Linked DNA regions of Nothobranchius furzeri. The protein of the gene in region 2 interacts with the protein of the main gene of each other region in a pairwise test. Links are inferred from orthologs where the notes say so. Each region holds a gene or a part of one and is shown on either strand. Other genes may lie near its edges.

What was found.
Region 1: the proteins of mid2 (region 2) and kifc3 interact in binary tests that used the Homo sapiens proteins (3 or more experiments, as listed by UniProt). The two-hybrid records come from large-scale screens. The link is inferred for Nothobranchius furzeri from reciprocal best matches to the Homo sapiens genes MID2 and KIFC3.
Region 3: the proteins of mid2 (region 2) and mfap1 interact in binary tests that used the Homo sapiens proteins (3 or more experiments, as listed by UniProt). The two-hybrid records come from large-scale screens. The link is inferred for Nothobranchius furzeri from reciprocal best matches to the Homo sapiens genes MID2 and MFAP1.

What each region holds. Positions count from the first base shown.
Region 1 is NC_091749.1:65,919,495-65,923,964, forward strand, and holds the start of kifc3 (kinesin-like protein KIFC3), read left to right. Parts: upstream 1-1,345; 5' UTR 1,346-1,480; coding exon 1,481-1,672; intron 1,673-4,470. UniProt on the Homo sapiens protein: Minus-end microtubule-dependent motor protein. Involved in apically targeted transport. Required for zonula adherens maintenance.
Region 2 is NC_091741.1:89,375,894-89,380,412, reverse strand, and holds the start of mid2 (probable E3 ubiquitin-protein ligase MID2), read left to right. Parts: upstream 1-1,349; 5' UTR 1,350-1,486; intron 1,487-4,519. UniProt on the Homo sapiens protein: E3 ubiquitin ligase that plays a role in microtubule stabilization. Mediates the 'Lys-48'-linked polyubiquitination of LRRK2 to drive its localization to microtubules and its proteasomal degradation in neurons.
Region 3 is NC_091749.1:30,004,152-30,008,601, forward strand, and holds the start of mfap1 (microfibrillar-associated protein 1), read left to right. Parts: upstream 1-1,325; 5' UTR 1,326-1,440; coding exon 1,441-1,522; intron 1,523-2,143; coding exon 2,144-2,360; intron 2,361-2,439; coding exon 2,440-2,590; intron 2,591-2,682; coding exon 2,683-2,870; intron 2,871-2,950; coding exon 2,951-3,220; intron 3,221-3,309; coding exon 3,310-3,469; intron 3,470-3,766; coding exon 3,767-3,856; intron 3,857-4,352; coding exon 4,353-4,450. Other genes in the region: hddc3 (guanosine-3',5'-bis(diphosphate) 3'-pyrophosphohydrolase MESH1), read left to right, coding at 432-586. UniProt on the Homo sapiens protein: Involved in pre-mRNA splicing as a component of the spliceosome.

The sequences.
Region 1 (4,470 bases), on a different chromosome or scaffold from region 2:
TTTGTCTGTGCTAAAAAGTCTCTTACATACAAAAAAAAAACAATATAAACACACTATCTTGGACCGGATACATGACAAGATACCACAGAACAGCGCTACGCCCTCTGTTGTCCTGGTGGGGAATTGCTTTGCAACACTCCCCAGGAGACGGAGAAGTATGAGGGCAAAACATCTCCGCCCGTGCGTGCGTGTCTCTCCCTTTTGGAGCTGACGGAGAAGCATGAATCAGGCTTTAGCCGGAGGTCCACTTCTGTCGTCCTCTTTCAGTAAGATTTTTTAAATTGGGTTTTTTGTGGCTCACTACTTTTGGGACACGAAAAAAAACATTTGTGCTTGTCATGACTAGAGTGATTACAACAACCGTAGATGGAACAGAGTTTGGGGATTTTGACGCCGAGTCAACAGAGTAATGCATTTGGTGACGTGGACGCTACGCCATGTGAGACCCAGTAATGGAGGCAATAGAGACCCACTTGGTTGCAGCAGTCAGACACTTGAGCTGACAAAGCAGCGCATTAGGGAATGAAAACAATTTTATTTATTTTTTAAGGGTGCAATTTGGCCAATGATATTTATAGCTGTGGGTAGGGCTGGGCGATACGGCCTAAAATCAATATCACGATATATTGAGGAGTTCACCATAATGGCGATAAATGGACGTTAACTACAGGTATGTGTAGAAACAAAAGTTGTCCACTAGATGGGGCTGTCACATGTATTACGTTGAGTCACATTTTTACGAGACTCGAGGTGGACATGAATGTTGCCAACCTGCACACATCTTTTCATTTTTTTATTATCAGATTTATTGACATGGGGACAATGATCTCGATAAGAGTCAGAAATTTCGATGATGATACATTTTCAATTTATTGCCCAGCCCTAGCTGTGGGTGTGTTTCGCTCATTTTCTGCCCCTCACTTACCCTCTTGTGCATGTGAGACATTCTGATTAGCCGGCTTCCTGCAACAGCGTAATGCATTTTATTGTAATGTGTACTTAAAAGTGCGACTTCTCTTTTAAAAAGAACGCTTGAATTTTTCTGATGGCTGAAACCTTTGCAGAGTTATGGTAAATCAAGTATACGTGTAAAATATTTAGGCTTTTGTCCGCCTTGTTAAACAACAGTGGGGGAAACTGTTGAAGCCAAATTCAAAATGACTCGAAGGACTTGAAGCCTGAATGCACCTCTCCTGACATCATCACAGGCAACAGTCATTCCGAGCTTGAGGTAAAAATAAAGAATTAAAGTTTTAATGGAGGATTACCTGTGGATTAGACAACAATAACAGAGAGGAGGACAAGGTTCATGTGTTCTTATCAGTTCTGTGGAAGTACAGCGTTGGCAGGGTAGGGACGGGACCAGGACAGAGGTGAGACAGCTGAGGAATAAATGAGAAAGCGACAGGATTACGGGACACCTGTGTGCCTCACTCACCTGGATCCTGTCCCAGGCTGAGCTCACCTGTGGGACAGGAACATGTTGGTCCTCTCCATGCTGGTTTTGCTCACACTCTACAGCCTCCTCAGGAGGAGCAACAACCAACTCAAAGGTAGCTCAGAGCATGGAGGTGATGCTAATGGACCAGGACAAAGTGGCGTGAAGGCTGTGAGGAAGAGGAAGGGGGTCCGTGTACGATGTGTCTCCTCATCCAGCAGGAGGCCAGTTGAGGTGAGGAGGTCAAGGTCTGGAAATATTCTGAGATTTTAAACATTTCTGCAAATCAGGATAGAAAAGGGGGTGTTAGACAGAAAATGGTCTTTGTCCTCAGAACTTCCATGAACCCTTGTGCAGCCTTACTTCTCAGTCTGGCCAGTTTGAAGTGAGCTGGTCCCAGTTCACAGCTGAGTTCTCCACTTAGTGACGGTGGCTCAAGGGTTAGGAGTTCGCCCTGTAGCCGGTTCAAACCCCAACTGCGTTTCGATCGTAGTTGTGTCCTTTGGCCGGACACTTCACCATAAGTGTCCAAATTCAAGAGCTGCATCAATCATGCCTAATCGGTCTGCGTAGCCTTGTCTTTTTGTTGAGCAAGTTTGCGCATGTGTGAGTATATTTTTAGCTGTTTTAATTTTATTTTTTCTGGTTTCCAGAACAAGTGATCTAGGCAGCTGGTTCTGTGCTGGGTTCTGCACGAAGGGCCATTTTAGTCTGAATTTTTTGAAGCCAACAAGGAGTGGCAAAAATTGCAGTTCCACCCTCATCTGCTAGGGGCTGGCACCAGAGCAGAGCAAGTTCCCGTTGACTCCCATGTAAAAAATGCTAATTTCACAGCAGAAATAAACATGTTTACAGCCTGGTTCAAAAAACATTTTAGGTTTAATAGATATGGGCCAAAGGGGTCGGGTGCAGTGTGTGACGGGTGGTAGTCGAGGGCGGGGACCTTGTCGGTCTGATCCTCGGCTACAGAAGCTCTTTGGTGGGGAAGGAGCCTGAGTTGGTGTGTGAGGTTGAGAGGTTCCAACTAGATATAGTCGGACTCACCTCAGCGCATGGCTCTGGCTCTGGAACCATTTTCCTTGAGAGGGGTTGGACTTTCTACCACACTGGAGTTGCTCCCACTGAGAGGCGCAGAGCAGGGGTGGGCATACTAGTTGCCCCCCCATCTTGGTGCCTGTACATTGAGGTTTACCCCTGTGAATGAGAGGATAGCCTCCCTCCGCCTACGTGTGGGGGGACGGGTTCTGACTGTGGTCTGTGCTTATGAACCAATCTACAGTTCAGACTACCCACCCTTTTTGGAGACCTTGGAGGGGGTGCTGGAAAGCGCTCGCTCCGGTGACGCCCTCGTTTTGCTGGGGGACTTAAACGCTCATGTGGGCAACGACAGTGAGACCTGAAGAGGTGTGGTTGGGAGGAACGGCCCCCCGATCTGAATTTGAGTGGTGTTTTGTTATTGGACTTCTGTGCCAGTCATGGATTGTCCATAATGAACACCATGTTCAGACATAAAGGTGTCCATATGTGCTCTTGGCAACAGGATACCTTAGGCCGCAGCTCGATGATCGACTTTGTTGTTGTTTCATCTGACCTGCGGCCGCATGTCTTGGACACTCGGGTGAAGAGAGGGGTGGAGCTGTCAACTGACCACTACCTGGTAGTGAGTTGGCTCAGTTGGTGGGGGAGGATGCCGGTCAGAGCAGGCAGGTCCAAACGCATCACGAGGGTTTGCTGGGAACGTCTGGCAGAGTCTCCTGTCAGAAGGAGCTTCAATTCCCACCTCCGACAGAACTTCCAAAATGTTCCGGGGGAGGCGGGGGACATTGAGTCTGAATGGACTCTGTTCCATACCTCCATTGTTGAGGCGGCCGACCAGAGCTGTGGTCGCAGGATCGTCGGTGCCTGTCGTGGTGGAAACCCCCGAATCCGCTGGTGGACACTGGCGGTTAGGGATGATGTCAAGCTGAAGAAAGAGTCCTATCAGGTCTTTTTGGCCTGTGGGACTCCAGAGGCAGCTGACGGGTACCGGCAGTCCAAGCGGAACGCAGCTCGGGTGGTCGCCAAGGCAAAAACCCAGACATGGGAGGAGTTTGGTGAGATCATGGAGCAAGACTTCCATACGGCTTCGATGAGATTGTGGTCCACCATCCGGCGCCTTGGGGGGAGAAGCAGTGCGCTACCAACAATATCTATAGTGGGGACGGTGTGCTGCTGACCTCTACTCAGGCAACACATTCTCACATCCAAGGTGTCAAAATATGACGCGTGTGACCAAGCCTCAATATATGACGATTCAGGACGCCCCAGCGCGTCAGGAGACGACGATCAGGGAGAAACTGCTGACGCAGCGTCCCAGAGCTCGGTATCCAACGCTGGTGCTGAGACGGACATTAGAACTACTTGTGAACTACTTAACCTTCCCCTCACCCCAATCCTAACCTTAAGGTCACAGTTTATGGACCTTAAGGTTAGGGTTAGGATTGGGGTGAGGGGAAGGTTAAATAGTTGAATAATGTCCGTATGACCGCCCGCGTCAAACAGTGACGCCAGCAGAGCCACGTGTCCTAGCGTGTCCCTGATCATCGTCTCCTGACGCGCTAGGGCATCCCGAATCGTCATATATTGAGGCCTGATCACACGCGTCATATTTTGACGCCTTGGGTGTGAGAATGTGTTGACTCAGGACGTTGTGGATCAGTGGGCAGAATACTTCGAAGACCTCCTCAATCCCACTGAAACGTCTTCCAGTGAGGAAGCAGAGTTTGAGGACTTTGGGTTGGCCTCTCAAATCTCTGGTCCTGAGGTCACTGAGGTGGTTAAAAAGCTCCTCTGTGGCAAGGCTCCAGGGGTGGATGAGATCCGCCCGGAGTTCCTTTAGGCTCTGGATGTTGTGGGGCTGTGTTAGCTGACGCGGCTCTGCAATATCGCGTGGACATCAGGGTCAGTCCCACTGGACTGGCAGACCGGGGTGGTGGTCCCCTTATTTATAAAGGGGGACCGCAGGGTGTGTTCCAACTTTAGGGGGATCACAC
Region 2 (4,519 bases):
TGCTGTAGTCAAAGCTAAAGGTTGTGCAACAAAGTATTAGGTTGTGCAACATTTTCTTTTGGTGGCAACTTTTTTTCCTTTAGCTCCAAAGGGCAGCAGTAGCTCAACAGGTTGAGCGGGTTGTCCAGTAATCGAAAGGTATCATGTTTGATCCCGGCTCTGGACAGAGAATTCTGCTGTTGTGTCCTTGGGCAAGACACTTAGCCCACCTTACCTGCTGGTGGTGGTCGGAGGGACCGGTGGCACCTGTTTTTGGCAGCCTCGCCTCTGTCAGTGCGCCCCAGGGCAGCTGTGGTTACATCGTAACTCATCACCATCAGTGTATGAATGTGTGTGTGAATGGATGAATGATACATTGTAGTGTAAAGCGCTTTGGAGTCCTTACTCTGAGAGGTGCTGTACAAGTGTGGGTCATTTATCATTTAAACTGTAATTCTATCTGTGTGTATTTTACTTTGTGTTTTTATGTGTTTTCATACCATGTCCTGATAATTGTAAAACACATTGAATTGCCTCTGTGTTTGAAATGTGCTCTAAATAAAGCTGCCTTGCCTTTTGCTGGGCAGTGTACTAATCAGCTAGTTGTTATTCTTCTGAGATTCTTATATTTTGTCCTCTTTATCAATTCGATAGGCAACGTTTAATTTTAACTGAAAAAATGGTTTCAAAAACTGTCAGAATTCCTGACAGTCTTCCCGTTCCGCTCTCTCCTTTTCCAGGTGAAGCTGTGACGCAGGGGCTATGGATGGTGATGATATTAGTGTATCACTTGTTTGGGTCTCAACCTCACTCATCTGTTACTGAATAGGTTCAAACATCGATGCTGTTTCTATGGAGCCACTTGACCCAGTAAAACTAACAGTTTTATTATAAAGATAAAGTTTCTTCTAGGACGCTTAAATCGGAATCGTGATCAGTTCGTTTCATCCAACTTTACAAGCCAAAAAATGTTTTTTTTCTTATTCACTTTATTTGTTCAACTGATCATTTTAAATTTGAAGCTATAATCCTGACAGCGACAGACGCTGAGGCGGGATGATGTGTGGAAGAAGAGTGTGGGTGCGCACGGCTCGGGTTTGTTGCGCGGCCACTGGAGCAGCGGTGAAACTGATCCCAGCTGCTACTGTTGGAGGGGGAGGAGGGGTGAGGAAATCTATTCCAGTCCCCTGTGGGTTGGTCACGTGCCCTCGTTTGGTTTGGGGGAACCGCGTCAGGAGGGAGAGGAGGAGGAAGCGCGCAGCTGCGCACAGCTGAGTTGGAAAAGCAACATCCTTCAGAAGCGGGTCCAGAAGATCCACATCAGTTGTTTTGTTGTTGTTTTGGGGCGTTGTCACGCGGTGTCTGCTGATACGCTGACACAACGCGTGTGATCACTGTGGCACTGCCTCGTTGAAACTTCTCTGCTCACGAAAACTACCATCCTGTCAGCGCCTGCCACAAGTCGACCTCCAGAAACACAGAGGGAGAGCTGTCACCGGGGACCGAGGTAGGCTTTCTGTCTCTTCCTATGGGGGCTCGGGGTGTTTGGGCTTGAGAGAACCGGAGCTGGACGGGTAAGCAGTTTGTGTGTGTGTGTGTGTGTGTTTGTGTGTGTGTGTGTGTGTGTGTGTGTGTGTTTGTGTGTGTGTGTGTGTGTGTGTGTGTGTGTGTGTGTGTGTGTGTGTGTGTGTGTGTGTGTGTGTGTGTGTGTGAGTGCACACAACTGATGCAGAAAAACGTCTCAGATTAATCAGCAAATGTACTCAAGCAAATTTCTCATTAGTGGTAAATTTTACATCTAGTAGTAATTATCTCTTTGCGCATGTGTTAGATAGTCTACAGTGATATTAGGATGTATTTAGCAACCTCTATTCATCGTTTTCCCCCAAGTGCCCTGCACTGATCAATAGTGACATTGTGTATTGATTGAGATGACATGACCTGAGCTGAACCCTGCTGTTAGCGCATTGTGGATGATACTTATTGACTTTTACTGTCAAAACTGTCAAATTTATGTTGTATTTTTATGTAAATAACAAAACTATAGATGTTATTGGATGATGAAGTAGTTGATCACTGAAATAGGATTTTTACCTTTTTGTGTTGGCTCCAGTGTTTTAACTGTTGAAGTAATGCTGCTGGTGACAGGAGACAAAAGCTGGTTTGAGTTTGGCCTCCAAAAAGCTGAGTCTAACATTCCCCCCCCCTCATTAATAATGCACCAATTTTAAACAATACAAATGCAGGGAAGCGGGGTCCAATGTCGAGTGTTGCTTCTCTCTATTTCTTATGTTTAGATGATGAATTCTCTATTAAATAAACTTTTCCTAATGTGAAGAGGACACATTCCATATGGGTGGTCAATGTCGATCAGCCATGGAGTAGAGCGTTGTGCTTAATGAACTGGTGTTTCGCCAGCTTCTAAAAAGTCATTTATGGGCCCGATCGTTCTTGCTCTCTTGTTGCTGGATGATCACAGCCTTTAATGAGACAGGTCTTTGTGCATGGGGCTTGACACTCTCTGAGACAAGGCTGCTAGTTGGGTGAATACAGCTGACACCCTCATCCGTCAGGCACCCACAGGGTGCTGCCTACTTTCTCACTCTATCCATTTACTGCCTCTTTCTCTCGTTTTCAGGCTTTCTTTCACTCCTGCGCTCTCCCACTGCACCCTCAGATGATAATTATTAAGACTTTATAATGATGACATGAGCAGTGAGGGTTTTTTCCCTTCTGTGGGGAGGAATGGGTGTTGGTGTCTACACGCTGGGATGATTATAGTTGTGACAGAGGGTTGGAAATCATTGCAGTTGAAGCATTGACTTCCTAGAATAGTTCAGCCAGGTATCTGTTTATCTCTGTGTTTGTTTCTGAAGCTGGAACTCTGTTCTCGGACAAAGCAAAGGAGGATCAGCCTTTTACCAAAGAAACATGTAAATATTAAACAATGTAAGATTTTAAAAAAGTACATGTTTTTATTTGTTTTGATTATTTGAGTTTTTGATTGTTAACTTGAGATGATAACGCTTAAAGAAAGATGCTTTACTACTTATAGGTTATGAATATGTAAAATACACACATAAAATACACACATAAAATACACAACAGCAGTAGCTCATGTGGTGGAGCGGGTTGTCCAGTAATAAGAAGGCTGCAGATTAAATCCCGGCTCTGACCAGAGATTGCTGCTGTTGTGTCCTTGGGCAAGACATTTAACCTGCCTTGCCTGCTGGTGGTGGTCAGAGGGACCGGTGGTGCTTGTGTTTGGCAGCCTCGCCTCCCTCAGTGAGCGCCAGGGTGGCTATGGCTATATTTTAGCTCATCGTCATCAGCGTGTGAATGGGTGAATGACTGATTGTGTTGTGAAGTACCTTGGGGGGTTGTAGAACCCTAAGAAGGTGCTAGGGTCTGTTTCTGAGCTGCAAGGCCTAGCTTGGTCCTTTGCAAGGCCAAGTGTCCACACTAGGGCTGGACAAAAGGATTATTTTTGTAATCAATTAATCTAGCGATACTTTTTTCGATGCTTCTAACTAATCTGTCAACTTAATTAGATTTCAATTCGATTAGATTATCGATTATTTCCCCATTATTTGACTTCTATAGCAATTTGAGTATTACTAATGTATGTATCTCAATGAAATAAACACACATTTCTTCATTTGAACACATTTTATTAAAAAAAATTCTAAAATAAAGTTGTTGTAGTAGTAGATGACGCACCTTATATCTATATGATCAACAATCTGGAGGAGCATGAAGTATAGAAAATAAGTTCAAACAGGATGAGGTATTACACTTTACAATCAAGAGTTCATTGTCATTTTGCTTTAGCAAGAACTTCAACAATGTTGGAATAGTGTCTACGACGGCCGTGACATTATCTTTAACATTTTTACTTTGGCCAATTTGCGCTCTCTCACATTTTCGGCTCTCGGCAACTCTCATAATCAGCATGTGCGCATTCAGAATTATTTTGCCAGCATGAGCCACAAATAAAAACCAACAAAACAGGTAACAGCTGCTGCTATTTGTTACCGCTATAGCAGCTTCAATGAGTTGAGGTTGAATGTTTTTCTCAGTGTGTGTGAGTGAGTGAATGAGACTGTGAGTGCGTGGGTCTGCTCGTGTGTGTGAGTGAGTGCATGTCTACGTGGGGGTGTTTGGATGGTAAATAACAGCGTTAAAATTTGAGAACTTACGATGTATTTTTGTTTGAAGGCACTGCTCCTGGATGCCGTTGTTTGATGTGCTGGTGAATGGCCGTCGTGGTTTCGTCATAGGCCATTTCCATTTTACAAAGCTGGTAAATGACTGAATCGCTTCCTTTTCTGTTGAAGTAGACCCATACTTTTGAACTGTGAGTGATTTTCGCCGACCGCCTCACTCATGTTGTCGCTACTCGCTGCTGCCGTGTTTGTTTTGAACGTGATGACGCATCGATGCACATTTTTTACGTGGACGTATTTTGGGATGAGTCGTCCCAGCCCTAGTCCACACCTCACCCTTCTTCGCAGTTATGGATGATGGACAGTAACGGAAT
Region 3 (4,450 bases), on a different chromosome or scaffold from region 2:
GGGTGTGTTGGCCTGAAGTAGACCCCCTCGAGAAGAGGGCTGAGAATGAGCCTTGGTTGGCCCGGAAAAATACCAGGCCACCCAGATATGTAAACAACCTACGCTACCCGGCCCAGGCTGACCCGATACAGATGGGAATGGCCCATTATACTCGCTCCCACCTAGCAGGAGGCTCTGATCCATTCAGACCAGAATCGCTAGCCACAAGAACAGTTTCTTCCCCTCCACGGTCAGACTCATGAATGCCAATCGTAGACCTGCCCACTGCAGTTGCTTTGTTTCAGTCACCTGACCCTGTGTTGTGTTATCACGTAAACTGATCTGCTCTGATCACTACCTACACTGACTTGTTTATTGTAGCTGCTTCTCTAATTATTGCCTCCCTAAATAATGGTGTTTATCATGTTGTCTACCTTTTGTTTGCCTGGCAGGCTGGAACACTGAGCGGGTCCAGGAGTACTTTGTTTGGGCCTCTGAGGTGGTGAAAGGCCTGAAAGGAACTAACTCTGCCCTGGAGGGGAAGCTGGAGGACTTGTTCAGAGAGGCATTCAACTCTGATGGCAAAGCCACACGTCTATACTGTTAAAATGACAACTCAAATGCACCTTTATGAGTGAGCTTCAGAAAAAAAAGAAAGAAGTGTGAATGTACTGTCTGCTGCACTGTCATTTGTATTATTGTCAAATTTTTAAAGTCATGCAAACCAGAACAGAAAATTAAAAGAATAAAAACATATGACATTTCTTTTATAAGTCTGGTTCATTGTCATCAAACCTTTCAAATAATTTTCACACAGACACAAAGTTTTTTTTTTAGATAAGTGAAGAGTTGCTTATTAGAAAGTCAGTCAGATTAGCCTTTTGTTTTTAAATAAACCATGATGCCAAAGTTACAAGCCAACCTCAGTCCATCCTATTACTCTGTTAAGGGTCAGGGCGTGCACTTATTTATTGTGCTAGTAAATTGAACTTGCCTGGAGCAGAAGAAATGTAGTTTGTTAAGCTGCCTGTCATTTTTGTAAAAAAAAAACGGAATGTTTGATGTTGGTTATATTTGTTAGGGTGAAATCGGGTTTCTGATCATAATGAAAAAAAGCTTGACTTGAAGGCCTATCATGCATGAAACATAAAAACCACCAAGGGGCGGTGATTTACAATTTACAATTTAATCGATTTTAATTAGCTTGATGGTCATTTAGAAAACACGTTTATAAAAATGCATAAATGTCAGTTTTGTAAAAACAATTTAATGTGAGACGCTTTCCTGTTCATTTGATTCTTGAGTTTTTGGTTTTTCTCTTCGGAACAAATGCACTTCCTGTCCGTTCGCGGAAGTTGTTCAACTTCCGGTTTTGAAACGAAGCAGCCAAGAGATTGTTGAGACTAAGCGCAACATCCTTTTATTTCACGTCCATAGTTTTGTGTTGTTGACCGGGCAGTCATGTCTAGTCACGAAAGCGTCAACATGAAGCTCCCACCGATCCAGTCCACGGCAGGAGCCGTGCCCATCCGGAATGAGAAAGGTGAATCGTGTTAGGGTTAGCTTCCATGCTAATGTAGCATCTGTTATGTAGCGTCAAAAAACGCGAGTTAAGTTTCTAAATAACTAATTCATTACTCAGCAAAACAAGCTGAAAAGCAATTTTGTGATGTTGGTTTTTTAAGAGAGTAAAATGTGTGTGTGTGGTGGGAGTAACAGTTTAAAATCTAGAAATGGAGGAACAACTGACAGTTTACATTTTTTTAAACAAGATTCAAGATCTTTGATGATCCAACACAAATGTTTATAAACAACTGGAAAAAATATATTTTAAATAGCTTTTCAACTTTTTTACGTGTTAGATAAGTCATCTGTTAAGTCCCTTAAAAGTATTCATGGGCTTTTGTAACGTCATTTATCTGTCTACCTAATAAGAGCTTGTCTGAGACATTAACTCGTTGTTTTAAGCTTACGTCTGAGTTTTGGGGTCATTTTATTACTCCCAAGGGCGAGGGGTATGCTGTATCTGTCTGATTTAATTTAAATAAATCTGCAACATATTGTTTTACGTTTTTTATGGTTGAGTGTTTTTTCCTGTTTAAATACTCTTGTACTAAGCTTGAGGAAGTGTATATAATCATGCCCTTTTCTGTACACAATGTAGGTGAGATCTCCATGGAGAAGGTGAAGGTGAAGAGGTATGTGTCAGGTAAACGTCCAGACTATGCCCCCATGGAGTCGTCAGATGAAGAGGAGGAGGAATTCAAGTTTGCTAAAAAGGGAGTGGAAATGGAGCTGGAGGTAGAGCAGCAGGAAGAAGATGTGAATGACCCACGTCTCAAACGTTTGCTCAATCGAACTTCTGAGGACGTGGAGGAGAGGTATCACTCAGTTTTTCTGATTAAACTCAAATTCTGTCAACATTTTGAGTCAAAATGTTTCCCGTTTGTTTGTGCTCAGGCTCGCAAGACACAGACAGATCGTAGAGCCTGAAGTTGTTGCTGAGAGCAGTGAGGACTCTGATGAAGGCACATGGCACCCTGAGCATCAGGAGAGCAGCGACGATGAAGAGGAGGAGGAGGAGGAAGAGGAGGAAGAAGTGGATGATGAGGTAGCAATTGTGCACCAAAAAAATAAAATCCTTTTAACTTTTTTGTTGCATTTTGAACAAATTATTAATTTGCTCATCGTGCTTGTGACCAGGAAATTGAGAGGAGGCGAGCAATGATGCGCCAGCGTGCAATGGAGAGGAAAAATGAAGAGATGGAAGTGATGGAGGTGGAGGAGGAGGGGAAGTCAGGAGAGGAGTCTGAGTCGGAGTCAGAATATGAGGAGTACACAGACAGTGAGGATGAAGCAGAGCCGAGACTTAAGCCTGTTTTTATTCGCAAGTGAGAACTAAACTAAAAATGTTTCAATAAAAATTCCAGATTCAGAACACTAGCTCAAATGTTTTTTTTTTGCACTGCAGAAAGGACAGAGTCACTGTGGCAGAGCGCGAAGCCGAGGAGCTGAAGCAGCGAGAGCTGGAGGCCGAGGCCAAGAGGCAGGCAGAGGATCGGCGGCGCTACACCCTCAAGATTGTTGAGGAGGAGGCTAAGAAGGAGTTTGAAGAGAACCGGCGCTCGCTGGCTGCACTGGAAGCTCTGGACACTGACGGGGAGAATGAAGAGGAGGAATATGAAGCCTGGAAGGTCCGAGAGCTGAAACGCATCAAGAGAGACCGAGAGGCCCGGGAAGCGTAAGTAAACTGCAGGATTCCAAAGGATTTATGGTGAAAGAGTGATGCAGTTCTCTTCAGGACGGTCATTTGTGGTGTTTTGTTGTCAGAATGGAGAGAGAGAAGGGTGAAATTGACAGATTCCACAATATGACGGAAGAGGAACGCAGGGCGGAGCTACGCAACAGCGGCAAAGTCGTCACCAACAAAGCCTCCAAAGGCAAATACAAGTTCTTGCAGAAATACTACCACAGAGGAGCCTTCTTCATGGTGAGTCCCAGCAGACACAAGAGTCCTTTTCACGGGATTGTCACCAGGATTCATAAAAAAGCAAATTTTTAAGACAACCAAGAGATTTTCCTAAAATCTTCATTTACAGCTGCAGTGTCTTTTCTTTGACAATTATTGTGTGATAAAAACGGCGTACCCTTTCTTATAACACCTTTATTATTTAGATGTCTGTAAATGACAGGAAATCCCACCAGATTCTGAAGGAGGTGATCGTTTGTGATGGGTCACCAACAGGTTATACGTGTAGGGATTTATTGTGTGGTTTTTGTGTGTTAGGATGAGGAGGAGGATGTTTACAAGAGAGACTTCAGCGCTCCTACACTGGAGGATCACTTCAACAAAACCATCCTACCCAAAGTCATGCAGGTGAGACCCTTTCGTCTTGGGGTGCAACGAAATGAAACTTTGGGCTGATGTCGATATTGTTATGGCTGATAATCGATATTTGTCGATGCGACATATACAGGCTGACATTTATGCTTCTGAAGTCAGCAGATTTTATGGAGACTTAAAGTTATGTAAGCAGAAATTTTGGACGTCTTTCTTTTTATATATATTCAGTTAATATCGGTCCAGTTGTCCTTATCAGACCGATACCGATATGTAAAACATAGATATTGATGCCGATATGTCATGCATCCCTGCTGTTTTTTTGGACCACAGGTGGGGTTTGAAAGTTCATCTTTGGAAAAAAGATTGAATTTCTCATGACCTTTGAACTAGCTTGTCATCTAAATGTGCTTCAGTCCCGCTGTACATGTAGCCTTTGTGTGTGTCACTGGTGTGAACGTGGTAGAAATGACACTTTTTGTGCACATTAAGGTGACATCCCCACAATTGTAACTTATTTTCTTCCCATTAGGTCAAAAACTTTGGTCGGTCAGGACGCACAAAGTACACCCACCTGGTGGACCAGGACACCACGTCATTCGACTCTGCGTGGGCCCAGGAGAGCACTCA